2 linked regions of the Tribolium castaneum genome follow. The protein of the gene in region 1 interacts with the protein of each later gene in a biochemical or structural test. Links are inferred from orthologs where the notes say so. Each region holds a gene or a part of one and is shown in the gene's direction. Other genes may lie near its edges.

Region 1 (4,129 bases):
CATCTATTTATAATTTCTGTTAGACGTTCTGTAGGAACTTTATTATGTTAACATTTATACCATATGGATCAAGTGAATTATTATTTTTAAATTCTTTTTTGGCATCTCTAAATGATTTAAAACATACATGCTGAAAGCTAGAGCTCCTATCTTCAACAGTTTAAGTAGAAATTAATTTCCAAATACTTAACTTCTGGGAAAATGGACCGAAATAGTCTCCTGAGCATCTTTAAATGTCCTTGGGACTTGAACTGTTGAAGATAGATATGGTCTCGCGGACATTTTTTAAAGAAAATTTAATTCTCTACAACTTTCTTAACAGTATTCGCAGCGTTTTGAAAAATGTGGGACAAAGCGCAATTTTACATTTGGAATAATTTGTTTCATATGTTTCTCATGAAGATTTTAGTCGGCAGTTTTTTGCAGCCTGTTAAGAGTGCAAAGCTTTGTATTTTTCCAAGTGATTAATGAATTGGTTGAATTTAAGTTAGTTTAAATCGATATTGGCGTCAAATAACGCTTGAAGCGCCCTCTTTTGTACTCTGGCGTACTATTTTTTTGGGCACAGAAAATCGTTCGTTTCCTAATCTATGGTCCTCTGTAGTTCAAAGTGTCTACAAATTGAATGAATAATTAATTACCCATCATGCCGCCCCACATGTTGGGCCCCAAACTGGACCCGTTTTGGATCGGGATAACATCCTGCGAGCTGGACATGTTCGAATCTGAATCATCGCGAGACTTATCGGTGTCCCTTCGATCCCTATCCCTTCGCTCAATGCGGCGTCTGTCCCTTTTGTCTGAAGGACTTAAACTTGAGTCGTCTTTGTCGTCCACTGAGCGTGCCACTGAAGTCTTATTCTTGTTCATGTTGAATTCCAAAGGAGAGTCGTTTAAACCGGGAGGAAAAATGGAAAAATCGCTGGCATCTGATGGAACGAACCCTGACTGACCTCCGGTGGGCACTATTGCCCCATTTCCTACAAAAAAGGACAAAAGGAATAACACAACGACAATTGCAACGGAATTTACCCAAAGGTTGGTTGTTGAATTGAAAACTCATGGTTACAGTGAGTTTCTAAGGAAAAATAGCAACAAAACAGTTCATTTTTTATCGACCTGCCAAACTTGCCGAGGATTGACGATTGAACTTCCCCGACTGTTCACAAGAACGAATTCGTTAAAAAAAATAGAAAACAATTAATTAGTAGAATTAGGGAGACACCAAAGAGCGTAGTTGGCAAAACTAATTCAGTTTTGGTCATTTTTGTGTTTGCTTATTGGAGTTTAGTATTTGATAAAATTTATTCGGTTGGGGGAACGTTCGGTTGGGGAGTCACATGTTAGTTGTCAATCTAACGTCAGACTTTCTTAAACGTCACTGACACTGTTATGCGGACAATTATTTTAATCAATTAATAAAAATAGTCGATTTGAAGCGGTAGCAAGTGTGAGGTGGGCTGTCGTAACGGTCTGGAGCCAGAAAATTGATGGGGAATCCGCATTCACTCACCAAACTCAATGTGTCATAATTTCCAATTAAGTGTCAATCACGATGAAAAAACTGTTTTCTAAAATCGAAACTAAAATAGATAACACTTCGAAGGAAGGTAACAGTTACATAGGAAAAGTGTTCACAGTCGGCCGCCAAACGGTAACCGTCGAGGATATTCTAGCCGAAGGTAGTAGCATGTTTCAATTCGGGGGGGCGTATAATCCCCATTGCTTGCTTTAGGTGGTTTTGCGATCGTGTATCTGGTAAAGGGCACCAATGGCACGCGCTACGCACTCAAACGAATGTACGTTAATAACGAGCAGGACCTTAACGTTGCCAAACGTGAAATTCAAATCGCTGTAAGTCACTTTAATTCATTCAAATTTTATTACTATTGAGGCACGTAACGGTTTTTAGAGCAGTTTAAGTGGCCATAAAAACATCATTGGTTATGTAGATTCCAGTTTGACGGCCACAGGAGGGGGCGTTTATGAAGTATTGTTGTTGATGCCTTATTGTCAGGAAAACGTTTTCGGTCTTATGAAACAACGTGGCAAAGCGAATTTTACGGAACATGAAGTTCTGACCATTTTCTGTGATACTTGCGAGGCCGTGTCACGATTGCATCACTGCAAAACTCCAATAATTCATCGTGATTTAAAGGTTTTTTGCACTTGATGGCAACACTCTAAATAACTCAGCTTTGGTTACTTGCAGGTAGAAAATATTTTGGTAGGTGAAAATGGTAACTACGTGATATGTGATTTTGGTTCGGCCACTGCGAAAGTATTAAACCCGGCTGATAAGGGGGTTGCTCCCGTTGAAGAAGAGATTAAACGGTACACAACACTGAGTTATAGGGCACCTGAGATGGTCGACATGTATTGTGGCAAACCAATCACGACGAAAGCTGATATTTGGGTAAAAAACACAACATTACAAAGTAATTTGTCTTTAATTTAATCAATTGCAGGCTCTTGGCTGTTTATTGTATAGATTATGCTTTTTTACGTTACCGTTTGGTGAAAGTACTTTAGCTATACAAAGTGGGAACTTTAGCATTCCAGATAATTCGAAATATTCGAAAGGTTTACATCAGCTAATGCGTAAGTTTATCAGTAGTAAATCTCCTCGAAGGACAGGGAACTTAATTAAGGGAACTTACTTAAATTTTGTCAGTCATTCCATTTTATCAGACGAGACACTACACATATTTTTAGATTTTATTTACTGTTTTTATGAACAGTATCAGTAGAAGTCAATTTAAACTGTTTGCAATCTACAATTAGAGCCACATTTGTAAAATTAGAAATAGGAGCAGAAATTAAAACAAATTGACGGACAGGACACAAAAAAGACTTTTTTATTGTTAAACAATCGTAAAATTTTGATAATTTAAAAGCACTAATTCTAACAATTATTTTTGAAGTAAGACTTTTTAAATTTTTAAAACCACGAAGTCGAAGAACAGAGCAATGTGTAACGACTTCTGATTAATTTACTTTTTGTTTACACATAACGGATGGGACAAAAAATCCACTATAATAAATCTTTTGGGTCATAAACATTCCTTCGTCTGCTCGGAAGCATGATGTTTTTTTTTTATAACATCAATTTTTTATTTTTTAATCGTGTAAATTATTAAATGTAAATAATTTACTCAAAATGTATTAATATTGTGTTACATAAATTAAATGAGTAATTATTTAATGTGTTAGCTTAAAAAGCTAAGCTAAGTAAAGTAAGGTTTTACTGTTCTAATTAAATAAAAATAATATATTTTTTTTAATATTTTGAACTCAACAACTAGTTATTTGTTTGTGTGTGTTACCCATTAAAACGGTCGATTTACTGGAGACGAACTAAACTTTCATTGAAACTGCACCAATTTGAATTTAGTTGTCATTTATTATGAATGGACTAATGTTAAATTAATCAGAAATTGAAATTTGATTGTAATTAAATATGTAAACGAATCATATGGGTTTTATTAGTTTTAGTTTGTCAATGTAAAATAAATTAAAGTAAATGAAGTGTGCAATCTCCCGACAGAACTTGTTTGAACGGAAACTAGGAAAAAAGAGTATTCTTAATTAAAAATTTAAATGAAAAGTTTTATCCAAACTCTTTGTGATAAAGAATGACAAAGAAAACTCCAATGATGGCGTTCACAATTAATTACGTTAGTGCTAATGCGTTTACAAAAAAAGACACCTTAGGAAGTTATAACAGTTTTAACGACGTTTATTCTTTTTATTCATTTATTTTGTTATAGTCACTTAATGATCAATTCACTTTTACAAATCATTACCTTCTTACTTTAAAATTAGCGCAGAATATTTTTTATAATGTAAGTATTAAATAATTAAAATTTTATTTTACCTTAAAAAAATGAAACATCAAATTATTCTTTACTCTCTTTACGCGATATAGTCATTTTTGATTAATTGAGGAGGTTTACAATTGCAATCAAATTTTTATTTCACTAATTTGACTTTTGTCAATGCAAAGTAAAAGATAACTTACTTTGATTTAATTTAACGACGTTTACGACCTAAAAGATTTATTGCTGTGGTTTGCACTCAGCCTCGTACTACCCGGGCCGGTTTATAGGGGTCACATTCTTTATGATCG
Region 2 (2,871 bases), on another chromosome or scaffold:
GGCTTGGGAAAAATAGGACGTAGTCACTGTTTTGGATTGGAGTGGATTTTTTTTTAAATTCTGGAGTGATATGATGGATTTAGGTTTCATCATACTTAGTATTGATTTGAAAAAGTTTATTTTTATGGCATTTATTCATAGCGGTAGAGGAACAGAACATAGAAAAGTGGTGTAAATAGTTTTGCTAAAATTTTGTTTTAATCAAAAGTTATATTTGAACCCTTAGGTAGTTTTATAATCGAAAATTATTTCCTCATTTTTTTAACACTTTGTTTCAAGCCTAGAGCATTTTTGAGATCATTATTTCTTGTGTTTCACAATGTCGTCTTAATTTCTCTGATTTATTTGATCTTGTTAATTTTAGTTATTGATATTTCTATATTTGCCGACTATCTTTTGTAATTCTATATTTTGAATAGAATTTGAAAAATTTTTTCTTGATTTTTATGTTTTACTGGAAAGTCTGAGGTAAAAAATAAATTGTAATCAGTAATTAACAATTAATAAAATAAATAGCAAACTCAAGTGATTTTTGTTTTGTTTCAGGGTTCCCGCCGTCGCCCAGTCCGCGCCGTCCTCCACGTGAGCGGCGACGGTCTCCGCGTGGTCGAGGACGAGTCGAAAGGTCTGATCGTCGACCAAACGATCGAGAAAGTCTCCTTCTGCGCCCCCGACCGCAACCACGAGCGCGGCTTCAGCTACATCTGCCGCGACGGCACCACCCGGCGCTGGATGTGCCACGGCTTCCTGGCCCTGCGCGAGTCTGGCGAGCGGCTCTCGCACGCCGTGGGCTGCGCCTTCGCCGTGTGCCTGGAGCGCAAGCAGAAGCGGGACAAGGAGTGCGGCGTGACCATGATGTTCGACACCAAGAACGCCACGTTCACGCGCAGCGGCTCCTTCCGGCAGCAGGGGCTCACCGAGCGGCTGGAGCGCGGCGTGGACGTGGGCCCCCCGCGGCCCGCGCCCGTCAACCCCTTCGCCATCGAGCGCCCCCACGCCACGCCCAGCATGCTGCAGCGGCAGGGCAGCTGCCGCGGCTTCAGCACCCTGGGCCAGAACTCGCCCTTCAAGCGCCAGATGTCGCTGCGCGTCAACGAGCTCCCGAGCAACACGGCGCGGCTGAACGCCTACAAGTCGCCCACGTCGCCGACGAACCCCAAGCCCCAGGTGTCCCCCATCCCGGAGATCTCGCCCGGCGACTCCGTCACCGCTCTCTGCCAGCAGCTGAGCCAGGGGCTGAGCCAGCTGACGCACAGCGGCTCCGACGACTTCAACTTCAACAACCAGACCTCGATCAACCAGAACACGGTCAATCTGAGCGTCACAACGATCAACAACAGCTTCAGCCCCAACTTGAGCCAGAGCCAGGTCACGACCAGTATTACTTCGAACGCCAGCAGCTTGCCGAAGCCGGACCAGTGGCTGGGGCAGATCGTCAACTCCACGTCGCCCGTGCCGGCGAAGATGGACGGGGTGTCGCCCCGGCGGGGCCCCCTCCTGGGGGCGCACTCGCGGGCCATGTCGCTGGACTCCTCGGGGGCGTTCCAGCGGACGGCGGACCCGTTCGACGCAGAGTGGGCCGACATCGCGGCTAAAAACAACCCGACTAACCCTTTCCTGTCCTCAGCCGCCCCGCAGCCGTTTCAGATCCAGCTCTAGTTAACTTGTGATTCATTCCAATAAGTTGTTGAGGTATTTGTTGTTTAATGTTGCCAGGACTGACTGTGCAATCTTGTAAATAATGTTGAGAGGATGTGTAAAGACCCGGGGAACGAAGTTTATGCTCAGTTTTTATTTATTTCATTAGGGACGTTAGAAACATTTCGAATTGTAATAACTCACCTGCCAAGCTAAATGCACAAAATTGTCTGTACTTAAGATAGTCTTTCCATAGTTGCAGTTAGACGAGTTATATCATTACAAGGCTGAGAAATGTAGGTACAATACATTCCATTATCACTATTAATTAACGATTGGTGAGTTTGGAGCTAGATTGCCGTCCACCTATAATTTGACCGTTCAATTAATCCAGTTGGACTTTTGTTACTAAGCGCAAGAATTGACTTATTGTTGATTTTTATTTAATTTTCTAGTGTAATATAACTATAATAACGTGCAGCATCGGGAATAGGATCGAATTAATAATGATAAAACTGTATTATTAGAATTATAGGTGATAACGACTTTTTACTTTATGTTTTTGTAAATGTTATAGCGATGCTATTTACTGTTTGTATTTATTACTTTTTCAATATGAGAGCACGCAGCTCTAATATTATGGCACATGTACTTATTATATACACTTGTATTATACAAAAGTCTTAATTATGTTTTTTTCTGTAATATAGTAATAAATAAGTATTATCTGTTACGCGTGTCTTTTTTATTATCTCGACGAACACTAAAGAAGAATAAAGCGATGTTGAAATTATGAGAGGTTGTAAATATTGGATTAACTTTGCAGATAAGTTGGAGTTAATTTTCCGAGAAAGATTTATTTTCTTGTTTGATGTTATTAATGGGGGTTTCAGGCAATTATTTAATTGGAAAAATTTGGTTAGTTATGGCGGAAAACTACAGATTTATTCGATTCAAAGGTGGAACTCTGTAAATCACTTTTAGAACGACTTCCTTAAGGCAATAAATCATTGTAGGAAACGATCAAAGGTGTCGTGCTTGTCGGCTTAAAGTTCTCTACCCATTTATTATTACAATTGTATTTAAAAGAGTTCTTAATAAAGATATTTCTCGTAGTAAAATGCTTTGTTTTCTTTTGCTTTTCGGTAAAAGTGTTATATTTGCGGCGTTGAAGGTTTATTTTTATGTCGATGTTGCGAGCGACGATGAGATGGCGCTAGCTGTACTGGTTTT

Evidence for each region.
Region 2: the proteins of Nak (region 1) and numb form a complex in vitro, tested with the Drosophila melanogaster proteins (3 studies listed by BioGRID). The link is inferred for Tribolium castaneum from reciprocal best matches to the Drosophila melanogaster genes Nak and numb.

What each region holds. Positions count from the first base shown.
Region 1 is NC_087394.1:25,678,793-25,682,921, forward strand, and holds the start of Nak (serine/threonine-protein kinase sel-5), read left to right. Parts: upstream 1-1,329; 5' UTR 1,330-1,555; coding exon 1,556-1,682; intron 1,683-1,735; coding exon 1,736-1,854; intron 1,855-1,912; coding exon 1,913-2,158; intron 2,159-2,212; coding exon 2,213-2,416; intron 2,417-2,468; coding exon 2,469-2,601; intron 2,602-4,129. Other genes in the region: ecto-NOX disulfide-thiol exchanger 2, read right to left, coding at 642-980, 1,033-1,063.
Region 2 is NC_087395.1:16,786,076-16,788,946, reverse strand, and holds the end of numb (protein numb), read left to right. Parts: intron 1-546; coding exon 547-1,659; 3' UTR 1,660-2,371; downstream 2,372-2,871.